Linked DNA regions of Stegostoma tigrinum. The protein of the gene in region 3 purifies or fractionates together with the protein of the main gene of each other region. This does not show direct contact. Links are inferred from orthologs where the notes say so. Each region holds a gene or a part of one and is shown on either strand. Other genes may lie near its edges.

The links.
Region 1: the proteins of csgalnact2 (region 3) and slc30a5 purify together in Homo sapiens (co-immunoprecipitation; 3 studies listed by BioGRID and IntAct, counting the BioPlex papers as one, with this or other methods). This does not show direct contact. The link is inferred for Stegostoma tigrinum from reciprocal best matches to the Homo sapiens genes CSGALNACT2 and SLC30A5.
Region 2: the proteins of csgalnact2 (region 3) and slc30a1a purify together in Homo sapiens (co-immunoprecipitation; 3 studies listed by BioGRID and IntAct, counting the BioPlex papers as one, with this or other methods). This does not show direct contact. The link is inferred for Stegostoma tigrinum from reciprocal best matches to the Homo sapiens genes CSGALNACT2 and SLC30A1.

What each region holds. Positions count from the first base shown.
Region 1 is NC_081356.1:109,705,153-109,708,902, forward strand, and holds the start of slc30a5 (proton-coupled zinc antiporter SLC30A5), read right to left. Parts: upstream 2,621-3,750; 5' UTR 2,288-2,620; coding exon 2,217-2,287; intron 1-2,216. UniProt on the Homo sapiens protein: Together with SLC30A6 forms a functional proton-coupled zinc ion antiporter mediating zinc entry into the lumen of organelles along the secretory pathway.
Region 2 is NC_081362.1:54,334,515-54,338,264, forward strand, and holds the start of slc30a1a (zinc transporter 1a), read right to left. Parts: upstream 2,885-3,750; 5' UTR 2,580-2,884; coding exon 1,952-2,579; intron 1-1,951. UniProt on the Homo sapiens protein: Zinc ion:proton antiporter that could function at the plasma membrane mediating zinc efflux from cells against its electrochemical gradient protecting them from intracellular zinc accumulation and toxicity.
Region 3 is NC_081390.1:21,179,139-21,182,888, forward strand, and holds the start of csgalnact2 (chondroitin sulfate N-acetylgalactosaminyltransferase 2), read right to left. Parts: upstream 2,393-3,750; 5' UTR 2,273-2,392; intron 1-2,272. UniProt on the Homo sapiens protein: Transfers 1,4-N-acetylgalactosamine (GalNAc) from UDP-GalNAc to the non-reducing end of glucuronic acid (GlcUA). Required for addition of the first GalNAc to the core tetrasaccharide linker and for elongation of chondroitin chains.

The DNA.
Region 1 (3,750 bases), on a different chromosome or scaffold from region 3:
TACATGGGTCCCAGTTATGCCTGTCTCTTTGTGAGGTACGTGGAACATTCCTTGCTCCAGTCCTATTCTGGCCACCACCCGGAACACTTTCTCTGCTATATCGATGATATCATCGGTGCTGCTTCCCTCTCTCATCTGGAATTGGAAACGTTCATTGATTCTGCTTCCAATTTCCACCTTGCCCTCACTTTCACTTGGTCTATCTCTGACTCCTCCTTTCACTTCCTCGTTATCTGTTTCAATTTCTGGGAATAGACTGGCCACTAATATCCACTATAAACCGACTGACTTCCACAGCTACCTGATCTATATATCCTTGCACTCTTCTTCTTGTAAAGACTCCATTCTATTCTCTCAGTTCTTCCGACTCTGTCACATATTTTCAGATGATGCCAACATAGACATTTCGGAGGCTCCAGTGTCAATCTTCTTCCTCAACCTTGGATTCTTCAGCATCGTTGTTGAAAGAGTCCTCTGGCCCATCTCCCACACTTCTGCATTTAACCCCTCTCTTCCCTCCCAGAACAGCAACAGGGGACCCCTTGTCCTTATCTACCACCCCCAGCATCCACATCCAGAAGATCATCAGCACCATTTCCACCACCTCCAGTGAGATACCACCAACAGACACATATCCCCCGCGCCCCCCACACCTCCCCTCCATTGTCCGCACAGACCGTTCCCTCTGGGGCACCGTGGTCCAGTCTTCCTTCACTCCCAACACCTGCCCACAGCACCTTCCCTTGCAACTGCTGTAGGTGTAATACCTACCCCACTTACCTCTTCCCACCCTAGTTTCCAAAGGCCCAAACATATCATCCAGGTGAAGCAGCACATTACCTGCATTTCCCACAATCTAGTCTACTGTATTCACTGCTCAGAATGTGGTCTCCTCTATACCAGGGAAACGAAGGGTAGGCTGGATGGCCGCTTTGCAAAACACCCACATTCTGCCCACAGAAGAGATCCTGAGCTTCCAGTTGCCTACCACCTTGACACAACACCCTGTTCCCTAACCAATATCTGTGTCTCAGGCTTGCTGCAGTGTTCCAGTGAAGCACACCACAAGCTGGAAGAACATGTCATTTTCCATTTGGGGACCCTGAAGCCCTCCAGACTCAAAATCAAGTTCAATAATCTTAGGGCCTAAAATCTCCCATGTCCTAGCCCCCACCCCAGGCCTTGTTATCACATAGCCTGTCATTAGACACTACCAATTGTTCGTTACTAACAGTCCCCGTTAACAACAATTCACCCTCCCAGCCAGATCATTATCAACTCCTTTGACTGTCCAACTGTTCCTCTGTCACTTTGGGCTCTATTCCTATCTGACATTTACTCCTTACCACCACCCCCCAACCTATCTTCTGGAATATAAACTGACATTTTCCTAGCTACCATCAGTTCTGAGGAAGGGACACTGGCCATGAAACAGTAACATGATTTTTCTTCACAGATGCTGTCAGACTCATTCTTTTAAGGTAGCTTTTAATCACTGTGCTACTTTAAACTAAATGCAGTCATAATTATTTAATATTTTACAAGACAGTATCGAATCCTACATAATTTAAAACTGACTAATAAATATAAATAAATATTCATAAATTTAAAAACAATGCTGTCTCCTACTTTACTCCTCATAACCCTCACAGAAATTGAGCAGCAGAAATAGAACATGCAGAATTTTGGATCATGCCAACATTTTGTTTTAAAAGTATACAGAATATTAACCCTGCTATCCCAATACCAACAACAGTCATGAAGTAGATGAGAAAACTCTAAATCTGCAAATCAATTTTTCCACACCTGTTTAAATTTGAGAACTGCATCTTTAGTCATGCCCAGTACAGTTTAAAGATAATAAAATGTGAGGCTGGATGAACACAGCAGGCCAAGCAGCATCTCAGGAGCACAAAAGCTGACGTTTCAGGAAAGATAAGGCCTGGGATTTTGACGGGGCGGGGGGGGGATCATGTGTATATCAAAGTGATGTGGTTGAATGCAATGAGACGTTCCAGCTCCAAGAGCTTTTTAGGGAGTTCCAATCGCTACTACCCTTTGGGTGAATAAATTACTCAGTTTCCCTCTCACTCTGCAATCTATTACCTCTGGTAATTGACCACTTTGTTAAGAAAACGTGTTCCGTCCTATGTAGTCCGTTGGCGCTCCTGATATTTTGACTGATCGGCTCACTGACAGTCCCGGGACACATTTACCTGGAGCTGGGTGCATCCACAGGGCCCAGCCTGGTGCTGGAGATGATGTTGTTGGTGTATTTATCCTCCATCCTTCACCCAGCGCACGATCTCACCGCCTCTTCCTCCTCACATCATTCCCCAGGGAACTGCTCCTCGCCGCCACAGTCACAGGCCCGAAACCGGCGGCTCTAATGTCGAAACTAGCCGAGACGCCAGCCACGTCCAGTAAAACGGACCGAGACCGCGCTCCAGCTTCCCGGAAGCCGGTGGGTGTGTACGGGGAGGATCAGCAAATTCCGCACCGGCACTGACCCTCAATCAACCGCCGCACGATTAATCAGCCTAGCAACCGGGGGACAGGAACTCCCAGCAAACCGCTTCCTGCTGACCGTCACCGGCTGATCCTGCCCGCATTCCGCCCCCTGCCGACCGCCACCGATTTGTCCTCCCCGCATTCCGCCCCCTGCCGACCGCCACCGATTTGTCCTCCCCGCATTCCACCCCCTGCCGATCGCCATCGCCCGGTCCTCCTCGGATTCCGCCCCCTGCCGACCGCCACCGCCCGGTCCTCCCCGCATTCCGCCCCCTGCCGACCGCCACCGCCCGTGCCTCCCCGCATTCCGCCCCCTGCTGAGTGCCTGCGCCTCCTGCTGGAAGGCCGGGTTCTGTGCAATACGCTTGTTTCTATGATAATGGGAACTGCAGATGCTGGAGAATCCAAGATAATAAAATGTGAGGCTGGATGAACACAGCAGGCCCAGCAGCATCTCAGGAGCACAGAAGCTGACGTTTCGGGCCTAGACCCTTCATCAGAGAGGATGTCTGAGGATCTCTCTGATGAAGGGTCTAGGCCCGAAACGTCAGCTTTTGTGCTCCTGAGATGCTGCTTGGCCTGCTGTGTTCAATCAGCCTCACACTTTGTTAGGCTTGTTTCTAACTGCGTCTTGGTAGGAAGTATTTTCTCTTTCCATTCTCCAGAACAACGGGCAGCGAGATTAAGTTTCGATTTGCTCTCAGAAAGAGTCAGCAGTGGGTTGAAGACTAATGTTGAAATGACAGAATTAGTCACAGTGCAGATGGTGTCAATTCGGCCCATACAGTCAATGTGGGTTCTTCCAATGAACACATTGTTGTGAGGAAGGGTCACTAGCAACTTCACCTGGACTATCTCTAACACCTCCCTCACCTTCCTGGACTTCTCTGTCTCATCTCGGGGAACCACCTACAAACCGATATCCATTTCAAGCCCACCGACTCCCACAGCTACCTAGAATACACCTCCTCCCACCCACCCTCCTGCAAAAATTCCAGCCCCTATTCCCAATTCCTCCGCCTCCGCCGCATCTGCTTCCAGGATGAAGCATTCACTCCCGCACATCCCAGATGTCCTCGTTTTTCAAGGACTGCAACTTTCCCCTCCTCAGTGGTGAAGAACATCATCGACAGTGTCTCCCGCATTTCATTCCTCACACCCCTTCCCCACAATAACAATCAAAACAGAATCCCCCCCGTCCTCACGTACCACCCCACCAACCTCGGATACAATGCATCA
Region 2 (3,750 bases), on a different chromosome or scaffold from region 3:
AAATGGACCAATATCTTAGGAGAACTGTACACCAATGATGCTAAAGCTTGAATGGGAACATAAACACAAAACAGTTTTAAAATCACATTCCAGCAGCTGTATTATTCAAAAGTGTATTCCACGGAGCACATTCACAAGATAAAAAAGCAACCCAAAAGAAACCTTGCACCCAAAATCAAATAGTTAAAAACAAAATTTGTATCTCTCATTGATTTTTGTAACATACACAAAACCTCTCCAAGCTCACAAAAAGTCTGAAGTGGTGTGCAATCAATACTTTGGTGGCCCCAGAATTAATTCAGCCATCAAAAATATATATTGACCAAGTCCATTTTGTTCTTGCAAATACTGCTCTGGAATATTTTAGATAATTACAAGAAAAATGGAAATGGAAGACTATGTTGACATAAGATAAGAATGGGCTTCTTTGGGATGCAGTTTTTGCTAGGAGTAACACAGCCTTTGAGTTGTAAAATTGTACACAGCTTTCTTTTTTCCTACTACTGCCTTGCAACCACAAAAGTAATTCAAGATACATACAGCTTACATAAAACTATCCAGTAATATACATTTACAGATTGGCTTTGATTACAAAAGAAAATTTGTTGGGCAGTTTTAACATAGTTAAATCAGGACAGCAAAGTTTACTACCTTGTACTATGCAACATCTGACCCGCTGCTTACAAGAAACTACAGAGTTAGTGGTAACGATAATGTCACTGGTCTATTAATCTACATGCCATATTTAGAACAAGAGGACATAGAATTCTAACTCAACTCCCACCCAACTAATAAATCCAGAATCAAAAGCCAAGTTTAATGAAACCAGGCCAATTGTGATAGAAGTCAAAAATCTAGTTTACTATTCACACAACAAAACAAAATGCCTACATACCACTAAGTGGATATGGTATGGAATGCACTCCTCCACGATATGACAGAACAGCTGAAATATTCAAAAGGAAATTAGACTGCAACTTGAAAATGAAGAATATGCAGAATAATGGGAGAAAAAGCAAGGGACTAGAAAAGAGAACTGCTCATTAGGCAGGTGGTGCAGAAACAATGAGCCAAATGGCTTCATACTAAGCTGTAGCAATTTTTTAGTTTTATTATATCAAACATGATTTTATGATGTTAGCAAGAGTACTGACATAAACACCACTCTTTGCACTGTAGGTCTTGCGTTGGAGAAAAGCAGAAAATAGTGTGTACAATTGAAAGCTTTGTAAATGCAAGTAGCAAATTGACATATTGAATACATAGGCAATGGATTTGGACATGCCAAAAAGGATACAAATTGGTTGTTCCGGGTTAAAGTGCCACCTGGCCTAGGATACAATGATACCTGAACAAAGTTGATTAAATATATCTACAAATAGGTTGCGTCGCACACCTCACCACCGTCGACATCCAATACTGTGCTGTTTGGTGAAGCACAAACTGACATAATACTACGTATTAGCCACAAACCGGACAAAGCACAAATCTAACTGATTAGAAATTTAAATTGAGGTTAACTGGCTACTTCTGTGGCTTAAAGTCAGCTCAGCCGTCATCTGAAGCAAAATATACTAAAACAACGCCAAGTAGTGGCACAGAAGAAATACGATTGCCAGTGGATCCCAATTGTGGTCCCTTCACTGGGATTTTTCGGGCGAACTCAGAATTAAAGAGAGAGAGATGAGCTGGCGGTGCGAGTTCAAATCGGTAATGACACTTCACTGCAAGCAAACACAAAGTGAATGAATCTTTCACCTTCCCACTGGGGGCACACAAAGGGTTTTGTTCTTTTCGATCAGGCCGAGATTGCAGACCCGTTCCTACTGAGTAGGGCTGGCCCCAACTTGGTGGTGGGGGGGGGGGGGGGGGGAAGAGGAGGAAAACGAGAGAAATAAAAGGTGTTAGTATCTAGCGTTGGCAACCCGGGGAGGCCCGCTCCCACACGTACCGAATACATCCTGCTTGTCGGGGTTGACACCGTTGATGGTGCTACCGCTGACTAGGATGTTGATCTCCTCCTGGTCGCGGACGCTCGTCCCGTTGCCGGACAACTTCTCGGCTTCGGCCCTCTTCTTCTTGCGGAGCCACTGGCTGCCGCTCTCCGAGCTGGAGACGTGCGAGTGAGAGTGCGAGTGGCCGTGGGCCGTTCCTCCGCCTGCGGCACCACCGCTGCCGTGGAACATGCAGAGTCCCAGGAGGTTGACCAGGAGCCCGGCGGCGCCGACTCCGGTCACCACCAACGCGTTCTGGATCTCCCGCGGCTCGCTGAAGCGCTCGATGGCCTCCAGCACGATGGTGAAGCAGAGCGCCGTAAGGAAGACGGCGTTGACTAGCGCGCCCATCACCTCGGCGCGGATCCAGCCGAACGTGTTCTTGGCAGTCGACTGGGTTTTGGCGGCGAATCGCACGGCGATGAGGGCCACCACTAGGGCGATGACATCTGACAGCATGTGAAAGGAATCAGACAGCATGGCCAGCGAACTGGTCAGCCGGCTCACCACCACCTCCACCACGAAGAAGCCGAATGTCAGCCACAACATGCACATCAGGCGCGCCCGGTTCGGCTCGCAGTCCATCTTTCTGCAGTCTGACAGCAAACGAGCGGCCAACCCAAAAAAAACACAACCGTTCCAAGGAACAAAGGGCCGTTTAACGTTTAAAATAACGGCCGGAATTTAAAACAAAATAAAAGGGGCTGGGAGCAGAAGGAGGCGAGCTAAGCCGAAAGTTCTCGAGAATAGGAAAACAAGCCTTTCATTGTTTCACCCAACCCGTAACTATGCAGACGCTTACAAAAAAAACTTTTGCACCCGGCAAGTTTTCCGTTCTGCGCACGGTATTTTTTTCTCTCTCTCTATTTCAGCACGGACCCATGTCTACCCCGCCCCCACAACAACCACCGAGCCCGGCCTACGGCCGAGGCTGATTGGTTGTAGCCAAGCACTCATTAGGGTTATTGGTCTACTTTGATGTCAATCATTGTCGTCCCGCCCACTCTGCGCACAGCTCCACCGGGTTGGCTTTTAAAAGCTGGTTTGTCTTCCCCTTCCACCCATCCATTGTGGCGTTAGCAGCTCATTGTGCCGATAGTAACCTTCTGACCAATAGGAATAAACCTAGCCCGGGCTTCTGGCATTAATATGACGTTGATTGGCCACTCTCTTCGATTTCTTTATTTATAATTGGTTGATGTAATACCAATTAAATACAGCCGTCGGCCGTCGCCATTGTACTTGCCGTGCGCTATGCTGATTGGTGTTATTCGTCAGGAAGCAGGGCTCCTTGACAATGATTGACAGACGGTCCTATTTAATAGTTTCACACTTATCGGGAAAATGCCTCAAGCAGCAATTCAGTGTGACTCAGCGTTAGTAGACAGTAATATTTTAATAGCTTTAAAAGTTTTAAACAAAACGTTTGGTAGAACTGTATCGAGATAGTAGGAACTGCAGATGCTGGAGAATCTGAGATAACTAGGTGTAGAGCTGGATGAACACAGCCAGTCAAGCAGCACCAGAGGAGCAGGAAAGCTGACATTTTGGGCCTAGACCCGATTTTCTGAAGAAGGGTCGAGGCCCGAAACGTTGATGCTGCCTGAGGATACAAATTGGTTGTTCCGGGTTAAAGTGCCACCTGGCCGAGGCTACTATGATACCTGAACAAATCGTTAATCGCTGAGTAAACTGGGACTCCAGCACAGACCTGTTGTTCCTGAATAAACAAATAACTAATATTTCAGTAAATAGG
Region 3 (3,750 bases):
CCTTCCCTCAGAATTGGGGCATGTAGGAGTAATGCTCCCTCTCCATTGCAGTGAGTTCCTGCAGGGTGCTCCTTCTGTTGCTCAACATGGTGAAGATTTTGTCCATGCCCTATTGTGGCAGTCTTGTTCCATTTTGTATGGAGATCTAAAATGGGACGCCATGTATAACCCTCTCTATAAAGGGGTAAAAATGTACCCAGTAGACACCCTACACCCTAGGTTCGACAACATCAAATGTTACCATGTCTTTTTTCCCAATGAGATGATGGAACCTGTTGGATGGTTCACAGAGCAGAATTTCAAAGTCAGTTGGCAGAATATTTCATTGTCAGAGCTTTCAAAACCATATCTTGGTTAGTGGTAAGAAGGACACACGCTGCTGCAACTGAACATTAGTGGTGGAGCGAATGAATATTTGTGGACGTGGATGTGTAAAGCTGGCTGCTTTACACTCCTTCTGGAATTAATCTTTTCAATCTGGAAACAGATGCAGTGACTTTTGTTGAGGTTTTGCTGAGCAGTAGGACTCTGTGGTGTATGGGCTGTTTCCAGGGACATGTAGCAAGACAAACATAATTGCTCCTGAGGACCATCCACTCAGCTGTAGGCATTCTTAGGTCTGTCTGAAACTTGCTGATCTTCCATGCAAACAGCTGGTGACTGTCGCATGTATTGACTGGCACATTCTAAGGTTCAGGACAATGTGCTGGAGAGGCACACTGTAATTTGGGCCAGCCTCTGCAGAGTCTCAATGGGGAAGGGCCACTGTCTAATACACACCTGCCATAGTGTAGTAATGAGTTGAAACATGCGTAAAACCCCTAAGGCTATATGTCATGCATTGTGTATTGTAAGTATAACTTCCCTGCAAATGCAGGGAAGGACTGCAGAGTGCCATACACTGTACAGAATCGAGAATAGTTGAACTGTTTTTGCTCATTACGTCATGACAAATTTGCACAGTTATGTTAAATACCTTTATAAATTAATACTTTTCAAGATCTATCCATGTCACTTCAAAGTATCAGTCATGCCTGACACTTTGACAACATTACCAAACTGGTTTATCCATTTACAGAGAAAATTCTAACAGAGGCAAGCCACTACAGGTCAATTACAGTAAAACAATAGTTTTGAGTCAGATTACAGAAAGATTTGCAATTCCTCTTCCAAAACAGTAAAACATCCCATAATTCGTGTGAGATAACAAGGTGTGGAGCTGGATGAACACAGCAGGCCAAGCAGCATCTTAGGAGCAGGTAAGGTGACGTTTCAGGCCTAGAAATTTGTGTGGTTCCATTATGAATGGGAATAGTGACTCACAACTCATTCAGAATTTTGTTTCTGTCTCACAGTCGTATCAGTCTGCTTCTTGAAGTATGAAATTGTTTGTTATTTGATCTCTATTACCTTCCACACTACCTCAGATCTGCTCCTGAGATGCTGCTGGGCCTGCTGTGTTCATCCAGCCTCACATTTTATTATCTCAGATCTTCTCTTTTGCTTTTCCTGCTCCCTCCTTCCTCCGACTCACATAAGAATCTGTCCCAAATTGCTTTACAGCCAATGGAGTGTTTTTGAAATGTACTGACACTTATGATATAGGAAAGATGACTAGCAATTTGTATACACTAAGTTGCCATAAACACAAAAGAGGTAAATGACCAGATAATCTCTTCAGTGATGTTAATTCAGCAATAATTATTATCCATCGCTTCTTCAAATAATGCTGCAGGACCTTTGTATCAAGCAGTAGACCGATTATCTCTCAGTCGTAGCATTCTCAGTCTGAAGGTGGTGGACATGTATCCATTATGGAAATAGGATCATAAATTCTGGGCTGACACTTCGATACAGTACTGAGGAAGTGCTGCATTGTAAAATGAAACATGATACCAAAGCTCTGATTATCCTCTCAGCTGGGAAAGTGCAGTTATCACCAGTATCCAAGCCAATCCCTTGTGGAAAATCACCAAAACGAAATGATTATCCGGTCATTATTATTGTTTGTGGGAGCTCGCTATGCACAAGTGGGCTGTAATATTGACCACTTGGTGACTAAAGAATTCCATTGGCTGTAAAGTGATTTGGGATATTGTGGTATACGTTGTATAAAAACAAAAGCCTTGTAAAGCACAGACTTTGCCCTTTCACCCAAAAGCATCACTTTAGAATTATTTGGCACTGACCATCTTTCATTCATTGTTAATAACGCCAACAATCGCTCACAATTTTCATATATCCCTAGCTCAAACTTTAACACAGCCATTACCTCCAGTGCTGTTTCCATTTGACTCCTTGGTTGCTGAATTAAGACAACAAGTTTTGCGTAATAACCAGCCAATGAGAGTTTTGGACCACAGTCAGACAACTGCACTCGTGGGACATCCAACGAAACATAGACATGAAATGGAAAGTAGAGAGCAAGTACCTGGATGCAAGCAGGCACAGAGAGGATTGCAGTTTGTTTGCAGTAATACCAACAGGAAAAGTGTGCAGTCAGCCTGTCAATGAAGCACTGACTGCTATAAGCATTTCCTGTGTTGCAATTGGACCTGTTATTAAAGCTGAACAGTCCCTCGGGCCAAAAAACAATCCATAATGTGAAATAGCTTTCAGCATCTCACTGCCCCCTTGGCACATATTTCGTAACAAAAAAAGTTGGGAGAAGATTGCATCATTCAATCACACAAATAAGCATTGCAACTGGAAATAATTAACATTGAACAACAGGACAAAAGGAACGCAGGCATAGTCATTATGTCAGCAAATGTGGTGCTATTACATCTCAGAAGCATCATACAAGTAGGAGTCGGATGACTCAGTTCCTCTTGTTGATGGTATTCTTGATTGTTTTGAGGGACGCAGGCAGTACTGCCAAAGCCAGCATTTGAGACCCATCCCTAATTACCCTTGAACTGAATGCCTTGCTAGGCCATCACAGAGAGCACATCCTGCACATCCCAGATGTCCAAGTTCTTTAAGGACCGCAACTTTCCCCCCACAGTGATCGAGAACGCCCTTGACCGTGTCTCCCGCATTTCTCGCAACACATCCCTCACACCCCGCCCCCGCCACAACCGCCCAAAGAGAATCCCCCTTGTTCTCACACACCACCCCACCAACCTCCGGATACAACACATCATCCTCCGACACTTCCGCCATCTACAATCTGACCCCACCACCCAAGACATTTTCCCATCCCCACCCTTGTCTGCTTTCCGGAGAGACCACTCTCTCCGTGACTCCCTTGTTCGCTCCACACTGCCCTCCAACCCCACCACACCCGGCACCTTCCCCTGCAACCCAGGAAATGCTACACTTGCCCCCACACCTCTTCCCTCACCTCTATCCCAGGCCCCAAGATGACTTTCCATATTAAGCAGAGGTTCACCTGCACATCTGCCAATGTGGTATACTGTATCCATTGTACCTGGTGTGGCTACCTCTACATTGGGGAAACCAAGCGGAGGCTTGGGGACCGCTTTGCAGAACACCTCTGCTCGGTTCGCAATAAACAACTGCACCTCCCAGTCGCGAACCATTTCCACTCCCCCTCCCATTCTTTAGATGACATGTCCATCCTGGGCCTCCTGCAGTGCCACAATGATGCCACCCGAAGGTTGCAGGAACAGCAACTCATATTCCGCCTGGGAACCCTGCAGCCCAATGGTATCAATGTGGACTTCACAAGCTTCAAAATCTCCCCTTCCCCCACTGCACCTCACAACCAGCCCAGCTCTTCCCCTC